Linked DNA regions of Mus musculus: all the other regions are reported to be linked to region 7. The links are microRNA targets in miRTarBase. Many come from high-throughput screens and were not tested one by one. Region 7 holds a microRNA gene; each other region holds the end of a gene's coding sequence. Distances are from middle to middle.

Region 1 (4,069 bases), not on the chromosome of region 7:
TGGAAGACTGGGAGCAGGCAGGCTTCCGGGGGCTAGGCGATGCTGGGCAGTGATTGCTGAAAGACCTTTTTTTAAAAAAAAAAAAAAAAAGGGGGGGGGGGCTGGTGAGATGGCTCAGCGGTTAAGAGCGCCAACTGCTCTTCCAAAGGTCCTGAGTTCAAGTCCCAGCAACCACATGGTGGCTCACAACCATCCGTATGAGATCTGATGCCCTCTTCTGGAGTGTCTGAAGACAGCTACAGTGTAATTACATATAATAAATAAATAAATATTTTTAAAAAATGTGTATGGGTACTTTGTTTGCAAGTATGTCTGTACCGTGTGTATACCTAGTGCCCTCAGAAACCAGAAATGGGTGCCAGGTCCCCTAAGACTGGAGTCAGAGACAGTTGTATGCTGGAAATCAAACTCAAGTCCTTTGGAAAAGCAACCAGTGCTCTAAAATGCTGAGCCATCTCTCCTGCCCTGACATCGTCTTTCCTATAAAAAAAAAGACTCTCAGGCTAGAGGGACCACTCAGTGGTTAATAGCACTGGCTACTCTTCGAGAGGAACCAGGTTCAATTCTCAGAACCCACATGGTAGCTAACAACTATCTGTAACTTCAGTTCCAGGAAATCCTCTGGCCTCTGAAGGTACTAGACATGTATGACCATGTACACACGAGCAGTAAATGGTCATACATGCAGTCAAAGCACCCAAAGTCATAAAACTTAAACAAGAAAAAGCTCTCAAAAACCACAGTATGGATGCCCACATCCATGAATGTACTAATCACTACTTAGAAGCCTCTCTCATAGCCTATCACCGGGGCTTCCACGTACTGCATGACAATGTCTACCTGATGCCTGCCAAGGAACCTAGGTCACTTTAGTCACATGAGAAACCTACTTTAAAATGGACCACATACTCTTCCTGTCCTAACACTGTGGAAATAGTCTCAATCACTGAGGCATGGTGTTTAACACGTCAATTATAAGCTCTGCACTATACTGGTAACTCTCAGGCCCAGCCATGCTTAGCATCCCATACTCTTGACATTCACAAAGGCCCGTGCCCCTGAGAAGCCTTGAGAGCATTTCTAGGACAGGGGAGTGAGGATCTGCTAGTATGTGGCAGAGCTCTGTGTTCTCTGTCCTAGCCTGAGCTCTTCCCTTCTGAATGGGAAACCACAGCCCTTTCATGCCTGGTGTCACATTGTAGTAGCAACCTTTCCCTTCCTACTGTGGTAAAGTCCATGGTCACCTGCATGTGACACAGCCTTGGTGCTTCTAGATCATTCAGTAGTCCCCCAGCCCCTATCCAGAGACAGAGCAGGTGAGTGCTTCCCAGATTGTGTGGGAAAGAAGAGGGGACAGGTGCCAAGGGACCCTGGGCTTCTTTTGGTGCTGATACAAATCATCTAAAATTGGTAGAGGCATACTCTGAATATGGCGACTCACTGAACTGTACAATAAGAATAAAAAACTAAAGGAAGCAGGTTGAGCCCCCACAGTCTGCTTTTTTCATGAGTATCTGGGCCAGTCTTGCCGCACAGAGCACACTTATAAAGACCAGAGCTCTAGGCAGCACCAGGGGAAAGGCAAGGCTAAAGCAACTCTCTGATGCTATTAGCGATGCTGGGCAGTGGGGGACATTAGTGCTGCTGTCCTTGGTTAGACACCATGACATCTGGGGGAAGAGCAGAGCAAGACACTCGAAGGCATAGAGCATTTACTTCTCACCTCTGAGGTCAGTGTTGGCCTCTCATGCTGACAGGCTCTGACACACCAAGGCTAACGGTGAGTGGCTGGAGAGCAGGGCAAGCTAGACTTGAAAATGGCTTCCCAGGACCAGGGCTCTGTTCGGAATCCTAGTGAAGTACCCTGACTTGCACTTTACTGACATCTCAGTTCTAAAGCCACTTGAGATGTCGTGTGAGGTGCCAGGAAGGAGGCGGTCAGGGGTCTGAGGGTGGGGCACTTCCTGGTGTGTCCTGGGTACACATCCTGAGGTTTTAGAAGAAAGTCAGAAATAAGGGGAAAGAGACTTGAGCCAGCTCAGACATCCAGGAGAACATGACCATGTCTACTTCCCAGTAAGTTCTTTATTGTCTAACCAATCACCACATGTTTACCGCAGCCCAGCACCAGGCCAGGCACACTAAGCATAATTACAAAGGGCAAGAGCTCCCAGCCAATGGGAGGTGTACAATTTCAACATTTCTCAGGAATTCATCTGTGATTAAAAATCACATCTGGACTTAGTCACCAGTATTGCAATGAACATTCTTTAAGATACTTTTTAAAGAAAAACATTACAGCCCACATTTACAATGGCATGGAATTTTTTCCTAGTATAACTTTGTTACCAATGAACAAGATTTATTTGAAGTTCAGCTTGTGTTCCCCCTCCTGTAGCAGCAGGGATCAATTTTTTTCTGAAAGGAGTTTTAAAACGTTAAGCAGTAAAAGGGCTTAGGTACAAATGTGGCCCAGAGCTGTGTGGCCAGAGGGCTTAGGGCTGAAGCCAGCTCCTCTCTGGGCCTTCCTATCACTACATCTGCAAGACAACACAGCACACACTTCCAAGCCACTCTTCAGATGCCGCTGCCATTGAGGAGGGAGCCTATGCCTCGAGAGCAGTCTAAGTGAAAGATGCTTCTCGGAGCACAGTTTAGCACCATCTCAGGGAGTATCGGGGCCACTGGGAACATCATCTCCTACATTAACCTCCCGACTTTCTCACAAACTCTCAGAACTCACGGTGCGCAGTTCTGGAAACAGATACTAACCAAATGCCTACAGTAGACTGGGACAACGGGACACAGTGACAACTCCACCCAGGACAACTGTCTGCTTCATGTGAACAACACTCAGCACAGAGCAGAGAAGTGGGAGCAGCAGCCTCAAGGGCCTGAGCCATGACGCCAGAACACAAGAGCTACCTCCCTTCACTTCCTCCAGCCAACCTTCACTCCACCGTGGACCATGAGGCTTAAGGGAAGAGTCCTGCCTCCTGCTGGGCCAGCAGCCCACAGAGTTTCCATTTGGCACGTTTGGAGCAGGCTGGAAACTTCTCTAGTGTTACAGTCTTGATACTCTAATGAAAAAGGTCACTGATTCCTTGGGCTAAAACCACCTAAATGAGTCAGTCTGAGCTAACAGAACTTTGGGGAAGTAGTCCCTCTGAACTTCCTCACACCCGTGGTAATAATGCATCTTTTCTTCTCGGGAGCTTTAAAGCACTACAAGTGAGCTGCTAGCTTTGGCACAATGGAAAGAATGACAGATCCTTCCTTTCCTTTTATAAAAGGACACTGACGTCCAACAGAATTCTGGGTGTATGGAGAGGCCAGACCCAGGTTGGCAACAACAGGACCTGTCTGGCTCCTGCTTTCTTCTTTTCCAGGCTAGAGATTCTCTGGCTATCACACCCAGGGAGGCCTCAGCAAAAATGACCATCAAAGCTAGTGAAATGGAAGGTAGCATTCAAAATGTAACACTGGTTTTCTTAAAATGGAATACTGGTTTTCGTATAGCGTGTATAAGGCACGGTGTGAGAAAGCTGCCCCCACTCCAGCCACACAGCCCCCTGGGCTCCTCACACGCTCACATGCACACGGGAAAGGCCAGCTGGCTTTGCCACAATGCATGGGGAATGGGTTGCTTCTGATCACTTCTGGTTTTTGAGCTGGTTGGAGAGCCAGTCCAGGCCTTCGTAAAGCCCATCTCCACTGGTCGCACAGGTAGCCTGAATGTACCAGTTTCTCTGGCGAAGGGAGTGTAAGCCAAGCTTGTCTGTGATCTCTGCTGCATTCATAGCATTAGGAAGATCCTTAAAGAAAACAAGCAAACAGTTTACCAACCTGTAGTCATGCAATGCAACAGGATCCTCCTCTAAAACATACCCCGGCCCTATTTCAGTGGCTCAGACCCAAAACCTTAGCTTTTTCTTTCTCAGACCACACAGCAGGAAATCCCAACAGTCCTACCATCAGAATTTACTCAGAATCTGACCACCTCTCACCATTCTCTCTGCCACCACACCCTAATCTGACCCCACCACAGTTCACTTGGATAATGGACATA
Region 2 (4,069 bases), 9.0 Mb from region 7:
AATCTGTCTGTCGCAGTGGGCAGGATCATAGGCTATGCCTAGAGATACTAGTATGACTGTAATGCAATGAAAAAGGAGGGATATCTGAGGTGAGGGGTAAAATGCCTCAGGCTATCTGGGCTGCAGATGACAAGTCCCTTAGACCAGAGTGCACACTTAATAGCTAGAACTCACTTTCTCCCTTTGTTTAACAGAAACTGCTGAATTCAAACCATAGTCTTTACTGCAAGATCACCCCATCAGCCTGACGCATGCCAAGCTTCTTTTCCCAGTTAGACATGCCATCCTGGGCCACATACTCTGTGACCTTGATACCTGCACTTTAGAATCCAGCCATTCCTTGCCACCACTGCGGACTTCATGATGACCTAGCTGGATCAGACTCTGGACAAACAGGTTCCACCAAATCTTAGCTTCTGGCTCACGCTTCATTTATAGCAACAGAGCTATAAATAGCTGGATTTTGGGGAGATGGCTCAGTCATTAAGATCACTTGCAGCTCTTCCAAATACCACAGGTTCAGTTCCCAGAACCCTTGTATGGAGACTTACCTATTCTAACTCCAGCTTCTAGGGATCCAATACCCTCCTCTGGCCTCTGCAGAGACATGAAGACATACAGATTAAAAAAAAAAAAAGCAAATCTCACTCTCTTTTCTCTTCTCTTCTCTTCTCTTCTCTTCTCTTCTCTTCTCTTCTCTTCTCTTCTCTTCTCTTCTCTTCTTTTCTTTTCTTTCAGACAATGTTTCACTATGCAGCCCTAGCTGGCCTGGAACTTGCTATGTACATCAGGATGGCCCTGAACTCATAGAGATCCCACTGCCTTTGCTGGGGTTAAAGGCATATGCCATCATACCCAGCTCAGTGTGATGAGAAGCTCAGTGGTTAAGTGCTTTGCCTGACAGGCATTGAATCTGGGTCCAGTCCCTAGTAGCACACATACAAAATGCAACAAAGGGTCTGGAGAGGTTTCTAGTGCTTAAGATGCACATGTCTCTTCAAGAGGACCCAAGGTCATCTCCCAGGGCTTAGGTCAGTGCCTCACAACTTCCTGTTAGCTCCAGCTCCTGAGCCTCATGTGCTTATGTGCACACACATAATAAATAGTGCCTGGGTACACATAAAAAATCTTCCTTTTTTAAAAAAAGCAATGGCAGGCTGCATAGTGGAAAGATGGCTCAGCAGTTAAGAGCTCTGGCTGTTCTTCCGGAGGACCTAAGTTCAATTCCCAGCACCCACATGGAAACTTACAACTATCTGTAACTCCAGCTCCAGTGGCACCCCTCACACCAGCATACAGGCATATAAAAATAAAGATAAACTATTTAAAAGAAAACAATAGTGTGTCTTAATTAGATTTCTATTGCTGTAATAAAATGTGGCCTCTCCCAGCCTGAAGCAGACTGATACAAACCTTGTACCACTGAGGTGGGATCACCTGTAGTGGAGCTTTCCAACTTGGCTGGCTTCTTTTGAAGTGAAAACTGCCCTGCTCTTCTGCTACCTGCCGAGAGGCTGAACCTGTCTTCCTGAGACATTCCTGAATAGCAACCAGCCTGGCGAATGGCTCCAGGCACCAAGAGTGGACTGGCGGGGAGGGGGGGGGGTAGGGGGAGGAGGAAGATGGGCCTTCGCCCTTATAAGCACGGTCTCTTAGTAAACTCGTGGGCCTTGAACAGAAAACGTGTCTTGGTCTCCATTAATTTCTCTCACAGTCTAAGTCTCTTTCAGCCCCAGCCTGCCTCCCAGGTGTACCTGGTTCATGTAGGCCTCGGGCTGGCATACAACAGATTGGTGTCCGAACCAGGGACATTGGGAACGGCGGAAAAACCCTGAGGGAATTGCTATCTTGTGTGGAGCTCCATGAGAAGGAAAGAATCAGAGGATTGTATCGGGCACAGTGAGCAACAGGTATTTATGCTAGTGCTGGCTTTAAACTTCATTTTTAAAAGTGTTACTGGAGGTGCAATAGGATACGGGCTAACTTTGGAACAGTGCTGACCCAGCGCTGGGTCCACTTAGGTTTGACAGCGAAATATGTGTGGGGCTAGAAACTTTGAGTCAGGCGGTTGCCCGCAGCTTTCAAAAGCTGTTTCAGGTGAGAGGAATAGGGTTTAAAATAATGAAACAGGTGGTTGTCCGCAGTCGAGAACTACATTAGGCTAGAGGAATAGGGTTTAAAATAATACAATACAATACAATACAATACAATACAATACAACACAATACAATACAATAAAATAAAATAGAGGAAATGGATTTTGAAATTCTCCCAGAGACAGAGAGAAATCGAGGGACGCCTTGCTTTATTCTCTCTGGCCCCATGCAGCAGAAGTTCTCTGCCCTCTTTGTGTTGTCTAATGTCTGGTGCACCAAATCCGTTTACGTGTCAATCCATGTGTGTTTTGTCCCGTTGTCTGAACAACTGAATGTTCTGTGTTTCATGTTGGAAAATAAAAATGGCTGAGACTTTAGCTGCTGGTTCAGCAAAGCCAGAGAGTGGCCACACTTTAGCCAGGGATCAGGCACAGCAGGGGAGCCACTACTGGGAAAAGCTGCTTTCAAAGAAAGGGAGTCTGCAGCTTCTTAGTTTTGGGGCAAAAAAGCTGATAGTTGTTTTTTTCCTGGAGGGTTCTCTGCAATCGTGATTATTGTGTTTAGGAAATGACAAAGTGCTTTTTTATCTTATAATTATAGCTATAAAAAGTAAAATTCTTTGATTGGTCTAAATTTACAAGACTCATGTAGCCACTGCATTTGGTTTTTTACTGGTCTTAAAGGTGTAACATTGGTAGCAAGACAGCTTTAAATTGGCGACTTAGGTTTGGAGTCTTTCCAACACGTGGCATAAAGCAGGCCAAAAAGCTAGGCCTCTAAGGACACTTCTAGTTGAGATAATATTTAATGTGATTCTTATCCTGATAGGTAGACTTAAAGATAAGATTTAAAACAAACAATGTCTCTTTAATGAAGCATTAAAATTTGCACTGTCATGCATTCATAGGTATAAATTGGCAGCCAAACTTCATAATATGATAGTAATGCTTCTAATATTGATTTTAAAGATGATAAATTGTTTTAAAATTGGGTTTTGTAGGGCCCCCAATGGAGGCTCTAGAGAAAGTACCCAAGGAGCTAACGGGATCTGCAACCCTATAGGTGGAACAACAATATGAACTAACCAGTACCCCGGAGCTCGTGACTCTAGCTGCATATGTATCAGAAGATGGCCTAGTAGGCCATCACTGGAAAGAGAGGCCCATTGGTCTTGCAAACTTTATATGCCTCAGTACAGGGGAACGCCAGGACCAAGAAGTGGGAGTGGGTGGGTAGGGGAGTGTGTGTGTGTGTGTGTGTGGGAGGGTATGGGGAACTTTCGGGATAGCATTTGAAATTTGAAATGTATATAAAGAAAATATCTAATAAAAAATAATAAAAAAATTGGGTTTTGTTTTCCCAAGGTTGTAGATATTATCCTAACGTTGCAAAAGAAACTTAAAAATTATGGTTAAAAATGCCAGTGTTTCATTGACTGCAGCTTGCAGTTTGATTACAAATTTAAGATTTTCTACTCACCCATATATTGTTAATTAAGATAATTACAAGAGTAATCATCTTATGAGAGCACTAATACAGCTCTCTGTGGCCATACAGCCATACAAAACTCAGAGCAGCCTCAGTGAGGCTTGTGTGACTTTCTTTTGTTTTGCAAACCATGCCCAAGGAAGTTCTTGAAACTTGCCTCTCCTTGCCTCCAGGGGAATTTTCTTTTAGCTAAAAGAACACTGTTGCAGATCTATCCAGATGTTGTTCCAAGTAAAGTTTAAATTCAAAATTTATAAAAGGTCAATCAGACTGTAGAACTTATAAAGGCATTACAATCTGGCTTGCCTATTTCATGTAAAGTCATTATAGATTTAAAAGTTTATTTTTTTCCTTTGCATTCTGATAATTGTAAAGTGTTTGCTTCTAGTGAACTGGTAATCACTGGAAAATTTTGCCTCTAGGTATGGCTAATATAGCTTTACATTATGTAAGAAAAATTTTTATTGTCTCTGTTTCTATACAAG
Region 3 (4,069 bases), not on the chromosome of region 7:
ACTCACTCACTCACTCACTCTCCAAATCTGGTGGCTGATCTTTGAATCAAATTACTTGACAGTGTCTCTCATTTTAAAAAACATCAATATTTCAATGCATTTCAAGTTTTCTTTTTTACTTAGGCATATAACATAGTTTAACCAAGCTCTTGGACCTTAATTGTAAGACAAAGCAGATCAATAAAAATAAGGCATACTTGTCATGAATTAAGTTCTGTTTGCTTGTTTTTGGCACATTTGATCATACTGTTGTCAATGAGTAACACATATGGTCAAATATACCCCCCCCTTTTTTTCAGCACAAACTGGGGCTACCCACTAGTAAAATAAAAACAAGAAGAGACTCTTAACATAATACACTGAAATATAGAACCTTGGTAAAGTACCGAGCACCTGGGAGGGGAAATGTAGGGGGAAGGATGAAACAGGAGAAGGGCAAGGGGAGGTTAGGAGGTCAATGGGAGAGAAAAGTGAGATGCTTTAAACAAAAAGAGCATCTTTACAGTCACTCAGTCTTCTCTATGACCACTTTTTAAGTCTTAAAAGATCTGCATGTGGATTTCTTTTTAAACCCACTGACCATAAATCAGACAATGGATTCAAAGTCCTAGTAAGATTGTGTTAACTGTTAATAGTGTAAAGACAACTGCACAATACATGTGCTTCTTGATCCGGTAGGATTCCAAGCAGAATCTGAAGTCTACAGGTAAGAAAGGTTTTACTTTAGGTAACTGACCCTAAAGAAAACCTTACGAAAGAACTTGCATCTCAAAGAAAGGACACTTTGCCTAAGTTTGCTGTGTTTTTGTTGACTTGCACTACTGACTGCTGGCTACTACAAAACACTGATCTAGGAGTACTCCAACAACTCGTAGCACAAGGCTTAACTTTAAGAAGCTATAGTAAACAAGAGACAAAATCAAAGCAATTCTCTTTCCTAATTAGAAACAGCACAGAGAATGCAATCTTTTCCATATCACAGTTAAAGTACAGTGAACAAAACAGCTCAACAAACCTTAAGACAAAAAGTGCAGGTTATTAATGTTTACATGCAGTTGATAAGCATTCCAAATGTCACATTATGCACTGTAAAAGCTCAACTTTACTATATGAAAATAATAAAAAATGCACCTTGGGGGGAGGGGAAAGCAATTTAATAATTTCCAGTGATTTTGTAAGTAAAGAAACTCCTAACTATTTTACGGTCACCTCATATTTAACATTGTATGAATATGAAAAGCAAACAATGGGAAAATGCACAGTACAATGAAAATAGCTTGCTATTCAACACATACAGTAGATCTCAAAAACAAAGACAACACACTCAACCAGAAAGCTTAAAACTATCAAATCAAAACCTAAAGAGCCAGCAGGAAAAAAAAAAAATCCTTCAAAAAAGATAACTGTTCTGCCTTCCTAGGCCGATACTGTCCAATGGGAGAGGTGCTGACACCTTCCCAGTCCTACAGGTGGTTTCTTCTACATACAGCAGGTAGAGCTAGATGGCTGGCTTTGCCAAGAAACAATTGCATGTCCAGAACTCTCTCTGTCAGACAAGATACAAGATCCTCTTTTTTTCTTTTTTCTTTTTTTACCAAAATACTTTCTACAGAATTCCAAACCAAAATGTACTGTATTTAAGGCATCTTTTTTATAACATTTTCTCTTCACTCAAAGATGATAGTCATGCAGCAGTTTAATGATAAAAAATATATTAATATTTTACTATACAGCAGCAAGAAGTTAGTTGTCAATTAAAAGCACATAAACATCTTTAAATGAAAACCTGTAAAAGACTATCGTTACAAACAATTTCAGTGGAGGACACCAGCTTGGTAAAGTGCTCTCCTAAGCTTGCGTTTTCATACCCTACACTTTGAATATGAGTGATAATAGAACATACTTTTGACAGAAGGCGTGTACACTTGGGAACACAAATACACTTAGCATATAATGTAGCCAGTAATAACTAGCACCACAGCTACATGGAAATCCTTTACATACACCAACTTGGCTTTCACTTTTGAAATGAAACTCAGAATCCATGGCTCAGTAGGATAACTATAATGGTGTTGCTTTGCTTTTAAACAGGTCTACATAAGTTAATAGCACTGGCAAAAATCAAAGGATAGCTTCAGACCTCTCACAAGTTTAGGAGACAGTGCTAGTGACCACAAATAGACTCACTACCTGATATCCAAATACAGGTTCACTGGAAATTGCTGCACGTTAGTTAGGTTTTTAAAATCTTTCTACACATAATAAAAAATATATATTATGAACAATACAAGTACATCTCATATACACAATAATAACAAAACATCTACTCAGTCAAAGCAAACAGATGCAGAAAAATATTATGGGAAATTTCCTTTTTCTTTCTCTTTTTTTCTTTTACTATTTGAATAACTTTGGTTCCAACCATAAAAATCACAACTTAGCAAATTTCATTTAAATGCCTTTTTTAATAATTTCTTCATGTTCACAGAAGTTTCACTGACCATTTTATATGTTTAAGGTCCAGATGCAATGCATATTGTATAAAAGAGAGCACTTATTGTTTACCTTGCATGAATTAAACCTACGTACCTTGAACTCTACAAACTTCTGCATAACATTTAGACAAAGCTCAGACACACAGCATGCCTAGCCCTCATATATATACACATCTCTAATCACAGGTATATAGGATGTCAAATATACTATAATAACCTCCATGTAAGGTTTGAAATTTGGTAACAAAATGAGAAAAACTAAAAATATTATTTTACGTGTTCTAAAATATCTCTTTTTTTTGTGCTAAAGTCAAATGTTAGCTCAACATGAAAAGGACTTTTTATATAATTCAGCAATATTATAATCTTGACCATTTTGCAAACACTTTTAATAATAATAGCTTAAACGTGTACAAAAGTTCTTGGTTAATTAGGGAAATAAACACTCAGTTCTTTATATTTTTTAATCAAGTAGGAAACACAGTTCATATAATGTTATTACTTTTTGTATATTTTTTTGTTTTTTGTTTTAGCAGCTGCTTACTGTTTTATATGGTGGATAAAGTGGACAACATCCAGCGATGGGTGGCAAGTCAAGAAGAGAAACTGTCAGTTGGTGGAGGTTCTGTGGGTGGTGCTCCCTTGGAGTTTTTTTTTTTTTTTTAACTTTTTATTTTCTCTCTTTACAGTATATTTTCTCTGTGTGTGGCTGTGTGTGTGTGTGTGTACACGTATGTGTATGCGTGTGTGTGTGTGTGTGTGTGTTTCATTCAGTTTGATCAATCTTCTTCCCCTTCTTCCTCGCCCTGCAGTAGCAGGGTGGCAGCGGTGGTCTCCTCTTGCTGCTGCTGTTGCTGCTGGTGGAGCTGCTCACAAGCGGCCCGCTTCTCCCTCTGTTTCTCTTGAATCTTCTTCATCTCCTCGGAGTACTTGCAGAAGGTGTGTCCGAACTTGGCCCACACCTTGTAGGGCACGGTGATGGAGTTGCGGTAGGTGGGCTTCACCTCACTCACTCGCATAAACACGCCGTACTTGTTGGAACCCACATCGAAGAAGAAGCGCTTGTTGTCCACAGTCAAGGAGGTGCCCTCGGGCAGCTCGGCCGGCTCCTCCTCCACTCCATAGTCGTCGATGAGCTTGGCCAGAGCGTCACGGAACTCGATGAGACCCTGTGCGGGCAGCGCAATGGTCTGGCCCTGCGTGGAGCCCAGGCCGGGCCCCCGGTTGACTGTCTGGCGGATGCGCAGGAAGCGGCCGCGCTGGTTCTCCTTGAGATCCATGTAGTACTTGCGGTTTTCGCGCACCAGGAACTCGCTCTTGAGCGCCCGGCGTGGCTCGTCCTGTGCCTGGGCCAGGTCGGGTGGCTGGCTGGGGCCCAGCTGCGCGTAGTGCTCGATGAAGTCGCCCAGGTAGTCGCGGAACTCCACGGCCACAGACATGGAGAGGGTGAGGCGGCTCTTGTTGCCGCCAGCGCCCACCTCTGCGATCTTCAGGAAACGGCCCTTAGCGTTCTGCTTCACGTCCAGGTAGAAACGCTTGTTCTGGATGTCCACCCGCTTGGAGGCCAGCTCCTG
Region 4 (4,069 bases), not on the chromosome of region 7:
CTCTTCTCCACCATTGAACATTGCACATAGGATTACGAAGTGTTCAGTAAGACAGTGAAATCTGTGGCAGGCAGAGTTTGTACCATAAAAAGACCCCATACATCACACCAGTAAAATAGGACATTCAGAGTGCTCACATTCTTTCCTTTCTCATATGTGTGATAGGTAGACTCTTAGTGTTAAGAATTTTTATTTCACGATTTACTCATTTATAACTTAATAGAAGTCTTGGATTAAATATACAACTTGTACTGTTTGATATATTGTTTTAATTTGGAAAGGATAATTTGAAGTTAACTGAAATGATGGAAGTGGAATTTATACTCTGCATTTTAAAAAAAGTCTTGTTATTAATAAGTATGATTAAACTTTGTTTTTAAAAATGTGTTTTGTTTTTCTGTAATTCTTTATGTGAACCATAAGAGTATTTATTACACACTTTATATTAGACCTCTTTCCTACACGTGTAAGTGCCCTGTTGAAGTCTCTGGCCAGATGTCTGAGACAGTGACAGGCGTAGCACAGTTACAGGAAGGAACAGTCCGTCCCTGCCCTAGTGTGCTGCTGTGTGCCTGCTGGGCCTTCCTACCAGGCATTATGTTAGGAAGGATTTGTATGAATGTACACGTGTGCATGTATGAAGAATACCAGCATATCGTTTATTTCCCACCTATTTTGAAGTCTTAGGGTAGTTAATAGGAGATTGGGCGGGTCTTTCATTTTATTTAATTTTAATTTTATATTATTGTGCGGGTAGATACTCGGACACATGCACAATAGCTGAGGTAGAGAAAATTGGGGTAGCAGGGCAAGTGTGTCATCATGTATACATGAAGATCAGAGACTATTTCGTGGAGTAGGTTGTCTCTAAAAACAACAACAACAACAACAACAACAAAAAAACCCTCATATAATTGAGTGTAAAAACAGCCCTATAAAGAAAAAAGTCTTTAAAGAGCTGTGGGCTAGCATACAGGGACTATGGGTTGTAATGAACTAGCAGTTTGGGTCAGTTTCTTTATCTGTCCTGACCTGAGTTCCTTGTTATGCAAGTAGTGGCTTTGCCACTTAGGTTCCTTGAAGCAGTGCTGTTGCTGTGTGCTTGAATGATATTTGGCAGTCTATGATGTTTCTATCAGTTCCTGAAGTAGGAATCCAGGCCCAGAGTTTGTAGTTTGTATTTGTCTTGCTTGAGACCAGTATGACTAGTTTTTTGCCATGGAGTTTTGAAGAGGAAATTAGTAAATGAAGCTTTTCTTCATAAGGGTAAAACTGAAATGCATTACTCAGTTTACCTTGGTAGATATGTCCAAATTGGCTGCTTCCACAGCTAACTAGTGTTGCCCATGTTTGGTTTAAATTTGCAGCTGCTTTCAAGAGGGTTTGAGAACCTTCAACTTTAGTGTGCAGTTTTCCAAAATCCACTGAAAGGAAAGGAGTTTGCAAAACATTTTTTAGTTTTCTTGTAAGTGCAGTCCAAGCTGGCCACAAACTTAAAACCCATCCCCCCAGTTTCTCAAGTGCTATGATTACAGGTGTGTGCCAGCACGCAAAGCTTGCAGCACAAATCTCGGTCTTTTTTTCTTTTTTGTTGGGATGGTGGTGGTTGAGAGAGTGTCTAACATATCTGAACTCTGGATCCTGTGCATTCTGTTTCCTCAGAGACGGGAGTTCCTTGTTTCAGCCTGTTTTTAGTCACTGTGACTTCTCTTAAGCATTCAGTGTAGTATAGCTTTCAGTATAATTTATTTAGGGGATTATTGTTTATTTCATGGTGACATTTTATTTGTATTTTATAATGAAAGACCCAAAAGATGTATTATGAGATTGCAGATGCCTTTATTACTCTAAGCAAATAAATTGATTTTTATTTAGACAGCACTCCACTCATTTATACGTACAGTAGTTCAGTGGATTACATTTACAGTGAATAGATGGAAAGTTAGCTCATCTCTATCATTATTCAGATATTCACGGGTGAAACTCCCAAGTTGCCTGCTGGAGGCTAGCTAGGTAGTCACAATCATATTTCTTGGTATCTTTCACTGATAGTTTAAGATTTAGAACTTAACCATGTGGTACATATCCGAAAATGATTTTAAGTTCGTATATTTCTTGTGTAAATCTTAAAGTGATGGAGAACTTGCTAACTAGATGAAGTAGAATGTTGCCCATCTATAGTTAGACAAATAAGAGTTAGAAAATGACCCCACCTTTACAGAAAACAAAACAACAACAAAAACCCCTTGTGTCTTATCCGTATTTACAGATAGCCACACAGTATATATAGTTTTACAGTTTTTCTCAAGTGGGATACAGTGAGGGGAATTAGCCCGTAGAGGCAGAGCTAAGTGTATCTCAGATTCTGAGTGCAAAGCTAGGCCCCTTTATTCCATGCAAAGAGCTTTCATGCATATGGTGTAGGGTGTGATACAATTCGAACCAGGAGCTTCTTGAATATTTTGCTTTTTCTTTGGGCAAGTTAAGTCATCTAGCATGTGCCGAGGAATGAGAAAAAAAATGTTTTTTTGTCTTTTTCTTAACATCGCCTATGATTTGTTTTCATGTTAATAACTTCAGAAAATTCCAAGCATTATATGATAATGTCCCAATGGTAAATTGAACACTTGCCTTTCTGGGTATTTATAGGTTTAATTACAAAACTGAACATGTATGTATTTTTAAAGTCAAATATTTAGCCTCAACAGAAGTTGTGCCTACAAGCAATTGAAAGTAAATGTAGGCTTTAATAGAAAGTAAAAAATGAACACTTAACATTTTATTTAAAGCTGTTTCCATAACATTGTGACCTTTTTATAAATCAGCATTATGTATCTATTATGTATCTTGGGATAGTCATGCCTTTATAACTATGCAAATGGATATGTTAGAACCCTGAGAGACACCCCAGTTAAATTGTACAGGGCCAGGCAACAATATAACTTTAGAGATAGTGAAAGCAAATATCTAGAAATTTTATTTGAATATCAGGTGACATAAAACTTGCTAGTGTGAATATGAAATATGGGGGGAAAAATCTAGTTCAGTTTGTTCTCCCGAGCAAGACTAAAGAGTGAGGATATCCTGTTTCCTATGCAGGTCATATACTGTATCTTGTGAAATTTGTTCTTTTGAAAAAAATATATATGTACAGCCTTCTTCTGAAGATAATAGATTCCCCTACCCCAGCATTCTTTCCATTGCAAAAACATGAGGTACACAGACCAGTGCCAGGGTAGGGGACCAGTCCAAGATAAGAAAATAGAATGGATTTTCTGGCTTGTGAATTTTCAGATGTGTTCAGAATTCAGGGTGCACAGTGGTAGCAACAGCAGAAACCTCAGAGAATCCTGGGACACTAGAGGTTGAGCAGCAAACTGCTAAGTGATTGAAAAGAGTGGCTGGTAAGGCCGTTCTGCACTGCCTACCCATCATGACTTTACCCATGCAGCTTAAGTGGCTCATGCATTGCCTTATGATCTATAGTCCTTTTTGCTGTAGGGCTTGTTGCGCAGTATGTTATCAATCTCGTTCACCACGTGAGATGTCATCTTAGGGAGGACCTGAGGGTAGGGGAGAAGCACAGAGGGTTAGGGTTGCGCATTTGTCTTGTGGAGTCCACATTAAGCAGTCATTTATACTTGCGATATGTTTGCAAGCCATAGCTGAAATGAAGATCCACTACCCCATGCCCCACAATGGATAAGCTTCAAGTCAGGGATTGTGTTTGTTGACTAAAGAAATGAAGACATGGGGCTGGAGAGATGGCTCAGCGGTTAAGAGCACTGACTGTTCTTCCAAAGGTCTTGAGTTCAATTCCCAGCAACCGTGTGGTGGCTCACAACCATCTGTAATGGGATCTGATGACCTCTTCTGGTGTGTCTGAAGACAGCTATGATGTACTCATATAAATGAAATAAATCCTTTATAAAAACATATGTATTTAAAAAAAAAGGACTAAAGTCTCATGAATACAGAGTAGCTTAATCTGGTAGAATTTCAGTGTAAGCAATTTATGTTTTAATTTTTCTAGCAGGTAATAATGCTGTCTTTAAAATAATAGAATTAG
Region 5 (4,069 bases), not on the chromosome of region 7:
TCTTCTGATGAAGGCAGTGGGAAGAGCAAGCACTCAAGCCCACACATCAGCAGAGACCACAAGGAGAAGCACAAGGAGCACCCTGCCAACCGCCACCACAGCAGCCACAAGTATTTGCACATGCACAGTGGAGGCAGTAAGCACACAGCGGATGGAATGCCTCCCACGGTGCTCAGGAGTCCTGTGGGCCTGGGCCCTGAAGGCGTCTCCTCCGCCTCCAGTGCAAGGAAGAAGCTGCATAGCAGCGAAGCCTCCCACAACCACCACTCCAAAATGAGCAAAAGTTCCAAAAGTGCAGGTAGTTCATCTAGTTCTTCCTCTGTTAAGCAGTATCTATCCTCTCACAGCTCTGTTTTTAACCATCCCTTACCCCCTCCTCCCCCTGTCACATACCAGGTGGGCTACGGACATCTCAGCACCCTCGTGAAACTGGACAAGAAACCAGTGGAGCCCCACGGTCCTGAGGCCAATCACGAGTACAGTACAAGCAGCCAGCATATGGACTACAAAGACACATTCGACATGCTGGACTCGCTGCTAAGTGCCCAAGGAATGAATATGTAACCTTTGTTTAGGTCAACTTTTCCTTGCCTTTTTAATTTAAAAATGGTTGGAATGGAAAACGCCCTCCTGGTCCGGCGGTGGTGCCACTGCTTCCATATTTGTAAGTGCTGCTTTGTTCTTCATTCTGAAAGAAGAGATGATAGTAAACAAGCCTATCTCCACATACGATAGTGTTACCAGGACTGTAACCGCATGGAAGATGCAGCTGAGAACATTAGGATGAATGGCTGGCTGCTGCTAGGAGCCTAAGCTGCTTCAAGCTTCTCTTATTTATGATTTGAATATTGTAGCTGTTTTTTGTTGTTGCTTGGCTTTGAATGAGTGTCAGTTGTTTTCTTTTGTGTATTTATACTTGTATGTATGGTTTGCATGTCTCAGTGATAAAGGGATAAAACAGTATACTGACAGCTGTTTACAAGAAAGTGGAGAAAAATGTACATACATTTTTGTATGTTTAGATATTACCATAAATACTCAGGATTGGAGCTGCTTGTAAGAATAACAATATACAGAATAACTTTATTTTCTCTCGTCAGAGTCCATCACTAATCTAAAACACAAGTGGCACTTTTTTTATGTTAACCTTAATTAAACTCTAGGCCTTACTGGAAGCCGCTGAGGGGACACTTCACTACTAGACGGGAATGTGGTGCCATGGGTGGTCCTTAACACTGGGAAGCACTCAGTTTGCCTTCAGAGGTCCTGACCAGATTGGCTGCAGAATCAGCCGTTGATTTCTGAAGGCTTGAAGAGGAAAACACAATAAAGTTTACATACTCTTGATGTGAAGTGCATTTAAATGTTTGTTGGCTTGTTGCAGTGCTGTAGAAAGCAGCTAATAATTGGTGTGAGGATGACTGTGACTTTGCTCACAGCAGCTCCCAGTGAAGATGAGTCCATTTCTTCAGGAACGCTGACACTACAGATTCTAAGAGTGAACAGGGGTCACTTTTCCTTTAGCATTGCAGTGACACCATAGTCTTGAATATACTCTTCCCATGGAGAGAGAGAGTGAGTGTGTATGTGAGAGAGAGTGTGAGTGTGTGGGTATGGGTGTGAGGGAGAGATACCATATTTCTTTTTCAGGTAAATGCAGTCTTCCTTATAAAAATGAAATTAAACCTATGCTCTCTTGATTCTTTTATATTCTAACAATAAATAAAAAAGAAAAGATTGCTGACTGTGCATTGTACCTGTATTTATAGCTTATGGTCATTATCAGGAAAATGTAAGGAAAAAGGCCAGCCTCAGGCAAGCCACTGCTGGGGTTTTACATGCTGGGGTTTTACATGCGTTTGCACGTCTTAGTAGGTTCTCATTGAGGTAATGCTTGCACTGTCACCTGACGCCTTGTCAGGGGATAGACTGACTTGTCTAAATTTTGGTATAAGCACCAATAGTATGGCTCTTGTCTCTTGCCTAACCTTGAATTTATTTCTGTGGTAAGTCTTAGCTGTTGAGTCTCTTAAGATGGGTCGGGTTCAACTTGTATTGAATCACAAGTTTTCCTCTGTATATGAAATGTTTTGTTATAAAGCCACTGATCTGTGCACAATTGTAATTTTATTCAAGTATGTTGTGGTTGTAAATATTAGAGTTGAGCCTTGTACTCTACTTTTATTTAGCAGTTATCCCATTTGCCAGTAGCTATTTGTTTTTTAAAGAAAATTGTTGATTATTTTGTCAATGTTATTTGAACCTGGGATGTCAGGAGCTTCTTTGTGGGAACTCAGCCTAGCAGGCTAGTCCTCACTCTGTTCTTGTTTCATTGGTAATCTTTGTTACTATGTGATTTTTGTTGCTGTGGTATACTGTTGTATCATAAACATGATGATTTTGATACAGTTACAGTTTTACCGTGGTACATTTCCAAGAACTAGCATAGGATTTAAACAGAGTACAAGGCGAGGGAGGGAAGGGTTTTGTTCTTGGTGATTTAGATGTGAAACCTCAACAGAGCATCATGTGAATTGACATGAGGTGGTCGTGCTACTGTATCATTGGGAGTGACCCAGGAATTTTAATCAGCCTTTGTAAAGAGTATCCAGAGACGTAGCAAACTTATTTTCAGTATGACATAGAAAACAATGTGAATATTTAAGGTCTGGGACTGTAGTTAAACTTCACTAAGGATTTTCAGAAATGTGTTGTTTTTTGTTTGTTGTTTTGTTTTTTAGATATGGGAATAAAGGTAATTTTGTTGAATCTTCATTGGTGCTAATGATGGACAGTTAAACAGATAGTGTCTACGCTGTGGATAAGTACACTTAGTGCTTCCAGAACTGACTTTGAAATGCTGTGTATTCACTTCTCACTCTGTAAATGTAATTCTTTACAATGACTATTTATTAAAAGGCAGTCAGTGTGATTTTTACAGGATTGTGTGAACTATTCAAACTCTTCAACCTCAGAACAAGATGCTAAAACCACAATGGGGGAAAATTCATGACTCCTTGTTTCCTGTCCACTAAGGAAAACCCTTATAATTCATATCACCATGAATTTGCTTAAATGATCTTGTTTGCATAACATAGTTCATTTGCATGGTCCCATTAGACTCTACCAAAGAAAAAAGACTCAATAAATGGACATTCTATTGTGAGTCTTATAAGTAGCCATAAATAACCAAAATAGTATCAAACTTAGGTGTGAAATTTCACATGTGCATAGTACTGTTAAGGTGATAACATTTTTTGATGAGTTTTTTAATACTTGAAAATGATTAAAAAGCATTCTCTTTACATCATCCTATAAAAGAGTGACTCATTCTTAAGGTGTTTCCCTAGGTTTGCCACCTTGTTGCAAAAGCACATTGTAATCAGAGGCTTCCTGTCTACCTCTCTCAGCTAAGTTTCTAAAATCAGTATGTGCTTCCTAAATCTCTGCCTTAGCTACTAACACAAGCTGTCTTCAGAACCAAAGCAGAGGAGTGTTTGTTTTGTGGGAGCCTTCTGGAGGCCTGCATTACAAACTCAGTGCCAGTGCCCACTGGTAGATAAGGCCCCACATGTCTCCTATGGAGTAGCAGTGAAGGCTATAGTGCCAGTCCTGGGTACGCTTCAGAGCACTAAGTACTCAGCTTTAAAGATGTCTCGTGTGGTACTGGGTGGTTTCGTGAGCGCACACTTTGTGCCAACAGATAGTAATTATACAGAACTCCCAAACATTTGGACCTATCTGTTCCCTATGAAGTAAAAACAGAACAGGTTAGGATTTACTTTAGAGAACCAGTTTGAAATGTCATTAGTCACCAAATACCTTGCCTTAAGATGTTTCAAGAAAGTGTATTTTCTTACGATTTAAATTCTGATTTTATTTGCATTATATAAGCCGCTGCCTATTTAGTGCATGGGTGCAACATGATTTGTTGGTTGGATGACTTAAGGCTCCTGCATTATGGAGATGGCTTATTTTGATAACTTCTCAGAAAAAGTCTCTGGTTTGGAATCTTTGAGATGAGACATGGTCTTCCTCTATAACAAGGAAAAGGGCTGACTGTAATTAA
Region 6 (4,069 bases), not on the chromosome of region 7:
GTGTGTGTGGTGCGTGCTTCTCACCTTGAGACAGGGTCTTTGTCCTCTTTTGTGTATGACAGGGGGGCTGGCCTGTGACTTTTGGAAAGATTCTCCTGTCTCTCCATCTTGCCCCAAGAGCATTGGTGTTACAGATGGAGTCCATCCAGCTCACAGGGATTCTAGGGACTTAAACTCAAGTCTTTCCACTTGCATGGAGATCTCTATCCACTGTCTCCCCAGTCTGACAAGGTCTCTATGCAGTCCTGGTGGTTGTCCTTGAACTTGCTATGTACAAAAGGCTGGCCTCAAACTCAGGGATTTGCTAGCCTTTGCTTCCCAAGTGCTGGGATTAAAGATCACAAGGACTGGCTCCTCTCCACCTTTTGTGAGATAGGATCTCATGTTGCCTAGGCTGACCTGGGACTTGCTACGTAGCCAAGACTCTGAACTTGAGTCTCCTGTCTCCACAGTTGTGAATGCTCCCCATTCGCTCCCCATTTCTCCAAGCTACTCATCTACACAGAGACTCTTCACCGGCCCACTTTGGTTCTGTGCCAGGTCCTTGTCCACACACTCAAAGCTCTACTGCATTTAACATCACCGTTCCTTGAACATGCGGCATTTTTGCATTTCAACTATAGCATCACCCGTCAGCCCATCCCTGCATATCAAGTTCCTTTTCTTCTACCAAGGATGTCTACAGCTGTCTATATGTAAGTTTCTCTTTCCCCAAAGCATATCCAAGATACCGTTTGTTCTCTCTATACATATTACGTGTGCTGTGCATATATATGTGTATGTATATATATATATATATATATATATATACATACACACATGTATGTTTATGTTCTTTTATATATGTGTGTATATATCTATATGGAAAAGGGAGACAGAAAAAACAAGAGAACACTTCGTTCTACAGTTCCAATCTGGCTTTGAACTCATGACCCTCCACGTCAGCTGGGATTAGAGCCGCGCTTGACCGCACTGCTTACCTTCATCTTCCCTCTGATCTGCAAAAGTCCCTCAATAGATCACCAACAAATGTTAGAAAACCTTTCAGGGTTTTTAGGCTACCTTTTTCCACCCGTACTTTCCCTTCTGTGTTGGTAATGATGAGGATGACTAAAACCTTTATTTTTGTGGTCTCTACTAAAACACAACTCACACATCCACCAAAACCGCCTGTAATAAACTGCCGCTTTCAAAACCAGTAAGGACACAGTTAACAAGAAAGCAGACAGAATAAGATCGTTCCCACCACTTATGTGAGCGGATCCCTTTGTGGAACCTAGGACTTTGTACTTGAAACTGCCATGTAAGTTGTTCTTCAAAGCCAGTGGTCTGTCGACGTCAATGCAATCTTATGCCAGTGGCTCTTATTCTGTGGGGCCTATCAGAATAATTCATACTCCATAGAGACAAAAACTAGTGGGCCTTACTCTCTAAAGAGTCCAAAGATATCTTGTAAGACGTATGGTTACTAAGCAATGAATTATGTACCTTTTTCAGGGAGGGGCAGTATTTCTAAGTGCGTGGCAGTCCACTGTGACCATTTCTGAGATGTAATGTACTGGAGTGGAATGAACATCAGCTGAGGTTTAAGAGCACCAACTGCCCTGCAGTGCTAAGAATAGAATCTGGTTTTTAAAAAACTTCCCCCCAAATTTGTTTTTTCAGCTAGTGATGTCATTCTCATGTAAGTGGATTTTTTAAAAAAAGTGTCATTAGTAATTAATGTTGATTGATTATTCATATTAGAGAAAGTGCCATCCAAAATTGCTTTGATTCTTAGGCAACCAATGGTTCTGGACTAAATGACCCAAGGTCACCCTAAGAGACAGTGTGTTTTGGTTACTCAGTCAGTTCTTCCCACGTCTCCTCCTGCCCCTGCCCTCAGAACGGCGTCCCCAACGCTCCTTGGCTGTGCTCTCCCAGGCTGTCACAGCCTACTTTCTGTAAAGGGCCTGAGAGCTCACGTGTCTGCTCTCAGGCCGGTGTTCCTCTGAAACCACTCAGGTGTGACACAGAAGTACAGGCACAGCCTTAGGTGACAGGTCACATAGGTGGTGCTGTGTTCTCACACAACTTTATTAATAAAAAGAGGAGGTGGGCTATACCTGGCTAAGATATAAACTGCCTACTCCAGCTTCAACCAAAACACTATGAGTGTTTGTTTTTCCTGATAAGAATTCAAGATCCTACAAAAGATGCCCTCTTTCTCAAATGTGGGAATTATTATATTTAAAATGTAGATCAAACAATGATGATCATGGGAGAACTGGATGCTTACGATCTGACTGCACACGAAGCATTTCCCTCTAATGCTACTAAGCCGACTGACCAGCAACTACGCAACAGCATGTTAAAAAACATGTTTATTTTACAGTATGTACAATCAGGAACGTATTTAAAACCATTATCAGTTAAAATAAATGAAGCATAAATCACAATTTAGCTTGTTCTTAGTGTATATATACTCACATCAAAATATAAAGAACATATGAACATATACCAAAGAGAGTCAGAGGTGTGCACTTTGCTACAACTTGGTATCTATCTTGATAAGACAGATACACTCCATTGGAAAAAACCAATCAACAATGATTTTAACCAAACTAACTTCTTGTGATCTGTAGTAACCATTATAATGTTTGTATGAGGTAGTAACTAAATTATTTTGGCCATGTATTAATACTCAAAATCTAAAGAAATATGGAAGTGATAAACTAATGCCAACAGAAGTAAAAGCCCACGAGAAACCTGATCAGCTCACTCTGGAATGTGACAGCTCTTCAGTGTGACTGTGAAATGTCTAGTGCGGACTCCTCAGCAATGCGAGTTGCTCTTATGCGCACTGTAACCCTGGCGACAGCTGCAGTGTTCTACCGTGGTACCGCCATTCCATGATTTAAGTTTTTGCGAAGGTGTATCCTAAGCACAGACAAGCTTATCTTACACAATTCTCCTTAAATATAAAAAGATCAGTTACTACAACAGGTGGTTAACTGGTTTGTTTCACATAGAAAACAATCCAAATACATGTAAAAAAGATGTTGTATTCACGGTGGGTGTCACAGGCTCTCTGTGACAACACATCACATGTCAATACTCTGTGCAGGAGAAACACCAGTGCACGTGCATTAAAATTAAAAACAAGATTATAAAATGATTACAGCTCGTTACCATTTTAAAAGTTACAGGATTTATGTCCATATTACTAAATTATATATAATAAAAATACAATAGTGTTAATGTCTTGGTTCATTGCCAGCATCCCATTTTGTAATATGACCACACCCAAGAATATACTAAAGAATTCTTAAAATATTAACCCCAGTTGCATTTTCATCAACATTTACATCTGTACAGATAAGACACTTTTACATCTCATAAAAGTACATTATCTACATAAATTCTTAGTGTATGCCTTCAGCAATATGAAGTTTCACAGAAAAATACTGCTTATATGTACAAAGATTACATAACAATGAATTAAGCACTTGTGTGGTTCAATATGCTAAATATATCCATACCACTTAAAACAAAATGTTCTCCCATCTGTCTCATGCCACAATAAATTATAAGAAACAGAATCTAGGTTCCTGCAGGGTCTGCATAGCTTCACTCCTCCACTAACGTTGCAGCAGCTGTGGTCACTGTCTCCACAGGTCACTGTCAAGAACACCGTGTCTCAGTAGCTGTTTTCGTGACCCGCCAAGATGTATAAATTGCTATTTGCTGTTGGGTTATCAGTTGGCCGACTTTCCAAAACCACAACCCTAAAGGTAATAAGAAACACATAACAGAACAAAGTTATTTATTTATGAAAACTAACATCAGCAAAAAAACCCCAAACAAACCAAGCAGCCAACCATGGCTTCTTTTAGACACTACTCTAAGCACTGCTCTTATGGGCAGAATCTACCCCCAGTCACTCTGACTCCAGCCCTGGGAGGTGCCCACTGCCTACCTCTACATCAGTATTCTTCTAGGACTTGAGGGTGTGAAGGGCAAGGGCTAAGGAGAAACCAATTCTACAGGAGTAATGTGGGGAGGGGGTGGGCTTGGTCCTATTAATCCT
Region 7 (4,069 bases):
TTTGTTCGTGTTAATTTAGGTCTATGAGGCACATAGTCCTTCCTGTATCATGAAATATGGATAATATAAGATTACAGAGTCACGTTGCCCCACTTTCATGGATCTGAGTTTCTCCATGGAGAAGGAACAATTGGTTTCCTCTAGGAAGGCCCCCTGCAGCAAGAGCAAGCTAGAAAATCTGCTCCCCATGTTTTGTGCAGTCGTCTTTTTATGCAGACTTTGTCCCAGATGGCTCTTTCCACTTCCACGCTGGAAAGCTGGGTTTCTCTGCAATACTTGATAATGGATTATTTCACTGTCTTTGTGTTTTGCAATGTAGTTTTACAAGGTAGTTCTGGGTAGTCTAGAACTTACTAGATAGCTCATGCTGGCCTCGAGTTTTACAGTCTTTCTTCTGTCTTCAGCTGAGATATATACCACCATGCTACGAGGGCTTTAGTTTTAATCATGCAGACTTTTTCGCTTTGATATTAAATTTAAAAAAAAATCTACTACATATTTCCTGGTGGCTCAGTGGGTAAGAGCACTTGTTGCACAAGCTAGGGACTTGTGTCCAGCTTCCCAACACCCACATGAAAAAGTATGTGCTGCCCAATATCCCCAGTGCTATTGAACAGAAACAGAAGAACACTGGGGCCCCATTCTAAGTACAGTGAGAGATCCTGCCTGGGGAAAAAGCAGAGAATGATAGAGCAGGCCACTCAGTGTCCTTTCTGCTCTCTTCCTGTACATAAGCTCATGCATCTTTGTGTGTCATATATACTGTTGCACACCTCACAATTTAATCATTTTGGCTAAAGTGATTTTGTTTTTTGGTGGAGATCTCATGTAGGCCTGGATGAACCCCAAACTCCTGACCCTCCTACTTCAATTTCTCAAGTGCATGCATGTGCAAAAGCTAATTGATTTGTTTTTGAGAAAGGGTATCACTATGAAGCTGACTAGTCTGGAACTTGCTATGTAGAATTGCCTGGCCACAGTCTCACAGAGGTGGCATTAACAGCATGTCCCACCATGCCAGGCCCTAGAGCTAAATTTAAAGAATATGTATGTATGTATGTATGTGTGCATGTGCATGTGCATGTATGCATATTGCATGTATATATTATGCATACATGTATGTATTTGCTTGTGTTTGTATGTGTACTACAGCATGCAGGTGCTTCAAGATGATCAAGAGGATGTTGGTTTCTCTGAAGTAGAGTTAAAGATGGTTTTAGCCACCTGATGTCAGTACAGGATATGGAACCCAGGTGCTTCGAAGAGAGCAGCCAATGTTCTGAACCACAAAGCCATCCATCTCTCCAGTGCCCAGCTAAATTGTCAACGGGACTGCTTATGTTTCTTCCTTTGGGGCAGAATAAAGAGATGGACCTGACAAACCCTTTTAGCTACTGAATCAATTTAAGGTATTCACTCTAGTCAATTTGGAGGTTGTTCAGCATACATAATTATTTGTTTGAGACAGGGTCTACCCATGTAACTCTGGCTGGATGGGAATTCATTGTGTAAATTAGACTAATCTATATATTTTCTACAATCCTGCCATTAAGCTTGGAGCTCTAGGGTTTCTTGTGCCCTCTTCTGGCTAATGAGAGCACTGCATTTGTGTGTACAGATCCATACACAAGCTCCCACAGTATATGCATAATAAAAAATGAAATAAAATCTGGATCAGGAGAGATGACTCATTAGTTAAAGCATTGGCTGCTCTTCTAGAAGACCTTTGTTCAACTTACAGCACTCAAAGTAACTCACAATTATTTTTGACTCCAGTTTTAGGGGACACATGCTCTCTTCTATCCTCTACATGTGCCAGGCATGCAGGTGCTGAACAGACATACAAAAATGCAGGAAAACACCCATGTGCAATCAACCAATCTATTTTTAATTAAAAATTTTTGACAGGAGTGCTGATATACTCCTTTAATCCCAGTGTGGACACTATGCCCCTCCTTAGATTTGGGAACAAAACACCCATGGAAGGAGTTACAGAGACAAAGTTTGGAGCTGAGATGAAAGGATGGACAATGTAGAGACTGCCATATCCAGGGATCCACCCCATAATCAGCATCCAAACGCTGACACCATTGCATACACTAGCAAGATTTTATTGAAAGGACCCAGATGTAGCTGTCTCTTGTGAGACTATGCCGGGGCCTAGCAAACACAGAAGTGGATGCTCACAGTCAGCTAATGGATGGATCATAGGGCTCCCAATGGAGGAGCTAGAGAAAGTAGCCAAGGAGCTAAAGGGATCTGCAACCCTATAGGTGGAACAACATTATGAACTAACCAGTACCCCGGAGCTCTTGACTCTAGCTGCATATATATCAAAAGATGGCCTAGTCGGCCATCACTGGAAAGAGAGGCCCATTGGACTTGCAAACTTTATATGCCCCAGTACAGGGGAACACCAGGGCCAAAATGGGGGAGTGGGTGGGCAGGGGATTGGGGGTGGGTGGATATGGGGGACTTTTGGTATAGCATTGGAAATGTAAATGAGCTAAATACCTAATAAAAAATGGAAAAAAAAAAGAATCCAACTTGTCTTTGATGTCATAGATTGATATATGGCAGGGACTTGTCCCTTTATTATGCTCAGGTCTGAAGAGTAAAATCATGGCAAGCTCATATTAATGCAAACAACTTTATTCACTTTGACATATTTGTTGAGCCCACTCCTGTAAACACATGCGCACACATACATGCACAAACACACACACACACACACGCACACACACACACACACACACACACACACACACACACACACACAGAGAGAGAGAGAGAAAGAGAGAGAGAGAGAGGTCTTACTTTCTTTATTTAACAGAAGATTGTGAAAACAAAACTCAGGAAAAGAATATGTTGATACCTTTGTGTCTATTTTCACTTAACATGAATATCACTTGCCAATTTTCAAGGAGAATACTGTGTATGTATTCTTTGTAAGTTACAATTTGACTTGTAGAGAATTTGGATCATGTCTCTTTACTAGATTTTTTTTATAGGCCATGTATTTCCAGAGACAAATACTCCCTGATTAATAATTTGTGCAGGCTAGGATTATTTTATGTCAACTTGACATGTGCTAAAGTCATCTGAAAGGAGTGAATCTCAATTCAAAAAATGTCTGCAGAAGACATAATACCAGGCTATAAGGCATTTTTAAAAGTAGAGTTTGATGAAGAAAGTCCAGCCCATTGTGGGTGGTCCTATCCCTGGACTAGTGATCTTGGGTTCTATAGGAAAGCAGGCTGAGCAAACCAGGAGGAGCAAGCCAATTAGTAGCAAGCCAGTAAGCAGCACCCCTCCATGGCCTCTGCATCAGGGCCTGCCTCCGGGTTCCTGCCCTGTTTGAGTTCCTGTCCTGACCTTCTTGGATATGGAAATGAGAGCCAAATACACCCTTTCCTCCCCAATTTGCTTTTGGTCATGGTGTTTCATCAGAGTAGTAGAAACATTCATGTCAGCTCCATATTCCATTTTATTTGGAATATTTTGAAACCTCATATATACTTTTTTGTTGTTATTTTACTTTTAAGACACAAATTCAAATTACTCAAATGAATAATGCCACTAAAAATTTTAAATCTATAAGCTAGTGTTTTATTGGCAAGGTATGACCCAAATTTTGTTTTTGATCCTATGTCACAAGTCATAAAGTCTTTTCAACATTTGGCCTTGACTTAGTCATCTGACTTCGAAAAGGTAAATTGTGGGTGCTGGAAAGATGCACCCATAGTGGTTAAGAGCACTTGATGCTGTTCCGAAGTCCTGGGTTCCATTCCCAGCAACATGGCAGTTCACAACCATGTAGAGCTTCAATTCCAGGGCATCCAATGCCCTCTCTGGCCCTTGAAGGTACCAGGTACACACATGATGTACACGGATGAAGGCAAAACCACTTATACAAGTAAGTCATTTTTTAAGAAAAAAAAAAGTGATATTGCCATAGAAAACATCAACAATCAAAGTATGTCTGGGCATTAAAAATTGGTCTCAACTTGTTCTATATTCATGAACTTTATGCTTTCACCATGGGATCTTTGGGACTTCTGAATTCCTC

Evidence for each region. Region 7 holds the annotated microRNA mmu-miR-297a-5p (AUGUAUGUGUGCAUGUGCAUGU, at 1,058-1,079, shown strand). A microRNA usually pairs through its seed, bases 2 to 8, with sites in the 3' UTR of a target mRNA and lowers its output. Matches are read on the target gene's strand: a 7mer-m8 pairs with bases 2 to 8, a 7mer-A1 pairs with bases 2 to 7 and ends in A, and an 8mer does both.
Region 1: the mRNA of Arf2 is a reported target of mmu-miR-297a-5p. The part of its 3' UTR that is shown has no 7-base or 8-base seed match.
Region 2: miRTarBase lists Ceacam20 as a target of mmu-miR-297a-5p. Seed matches in the 3' UTR shown: 7mer-m8 at 614-620 and 8mer at 937-944.
Region 3: miRTarBase lists Pura as a target of mmu-miR-297a-5p. Seed matches in the 3' UTR shown: 7mer-A1 at 1,223-1,229.
Region 4: miRTarBase lists Kcnab1 as a target of mmu-miR-297a-5p. Seed matches in the 3' UTR shown: 7mer-m8 at 2,671-2,677.
Region 5: the mRNA of Ccnt2 is a reported target of mmu-miR-297a-5p. Seed matches in the 3' UTR shown: 7mer-m8 at 1,001-1,007.
Region 6: the mRNA of Map4k3 is a reported target of mmu-miR-297a-5p. Seed matches in the 3' UTR shown: 7mer-A1 at 2,640-2,646.

The regions. Positions count from the first base shown.
Region 1 is chr11:103,983,334-103,987,402 of GRCm38, reverse strand. It overlaps Arf2 (ADP-ribosylation factor 2), which reads right to left. Exons shown (of 5, transcript NM_001304574.1): 5 at 2,053-3,815. The coding sequence ends at 3,654. Among named protein-coding and RNA genes, the nearest start is that of Arf2, 19 kb to the right of the region's middle.
Region 2 is chr7:19,989,779-19,993,847 of GRCm38, forward strand. Ceacam20 (carcinoembryonic antigen-related cell adhesion molecule 20) reads left to right here. Exons shown (of 12, transcript NM_027839.2): 12 at 195-1,335. The coding sequence ends at 248. It also overlaps a transcript of Nlrp9b not described here. Among named protein-coding and RNA genes, the nearest start is that of Nlrp9b, 16 kb to the right of the region's middle.
Region 3 is chr18:36,287,333-36,291,401 of GRCm38, reverse strand. Pura (purine rich element binding protein A) reads right to left here. Exons shown (of 2, transcript NM_008989.4): 2 at 1-4,069. The coding sequence ends at 3,275. Among named protein-coding and RNA genes, the nearest start is that of Pura, 8.3 kb to the right of the region's middle.
Region 4 is chr3:65,375,973-65,380,041 of GRCm38, reverse strand. It overlaps Kcnab1 (potassium voltage-gated channel, shaker-related subfamily, beta member 1), which reads right to left. Exons shown (of 14, transcript NM_010597.5): 14 at 1,817-3,563. The coding sequence ends at 3,474. Ssr3 (signal sequence receptor, gamma) reads left to right here. Exons shown (of 5, transcript NM_026155.3): 5 at 1-385. Among named protein-coding and RNA genes, the nearest start is that of Ssr3, 15 kb to the left of the region's middle.
Region 5 is chr1:127,802,996-127,807,064 of GRCm38, forward strand. Ccnt2 (cyclin T2) reads left to right here. Exons shown (of 9, transcript NM_028399.1): 9 at 1-1,842. The coding sequence ends at 564. Among named protein-coding and RNA genes, the nearest start is that of Ccnt2, 31 kb to the left of the region's middle.
Region 6 is chr17:80,578,169-80,582,237 of GRCm38, forward strand. Map4k3 (mitogen-activated protein kinase kinase kinase kinase 3) reads right to left here. Exons shown (of 34, transcript NM_001290345.1): 34 at 2,345-3,767. The coding sequence ends at 3,680. Among named protein-coding and RNA genes, the nearest start is that of Cdkl4, 2.7 kb to the left of the region's middle.
Region 7 is chr7:10,955,487-10,959,555 of GRCm38, reverse strand. It overlaps Mir297-1 (microRNA 297-1), which reads left to right and starts at 1,044; the gene lies at 1,044-1,119.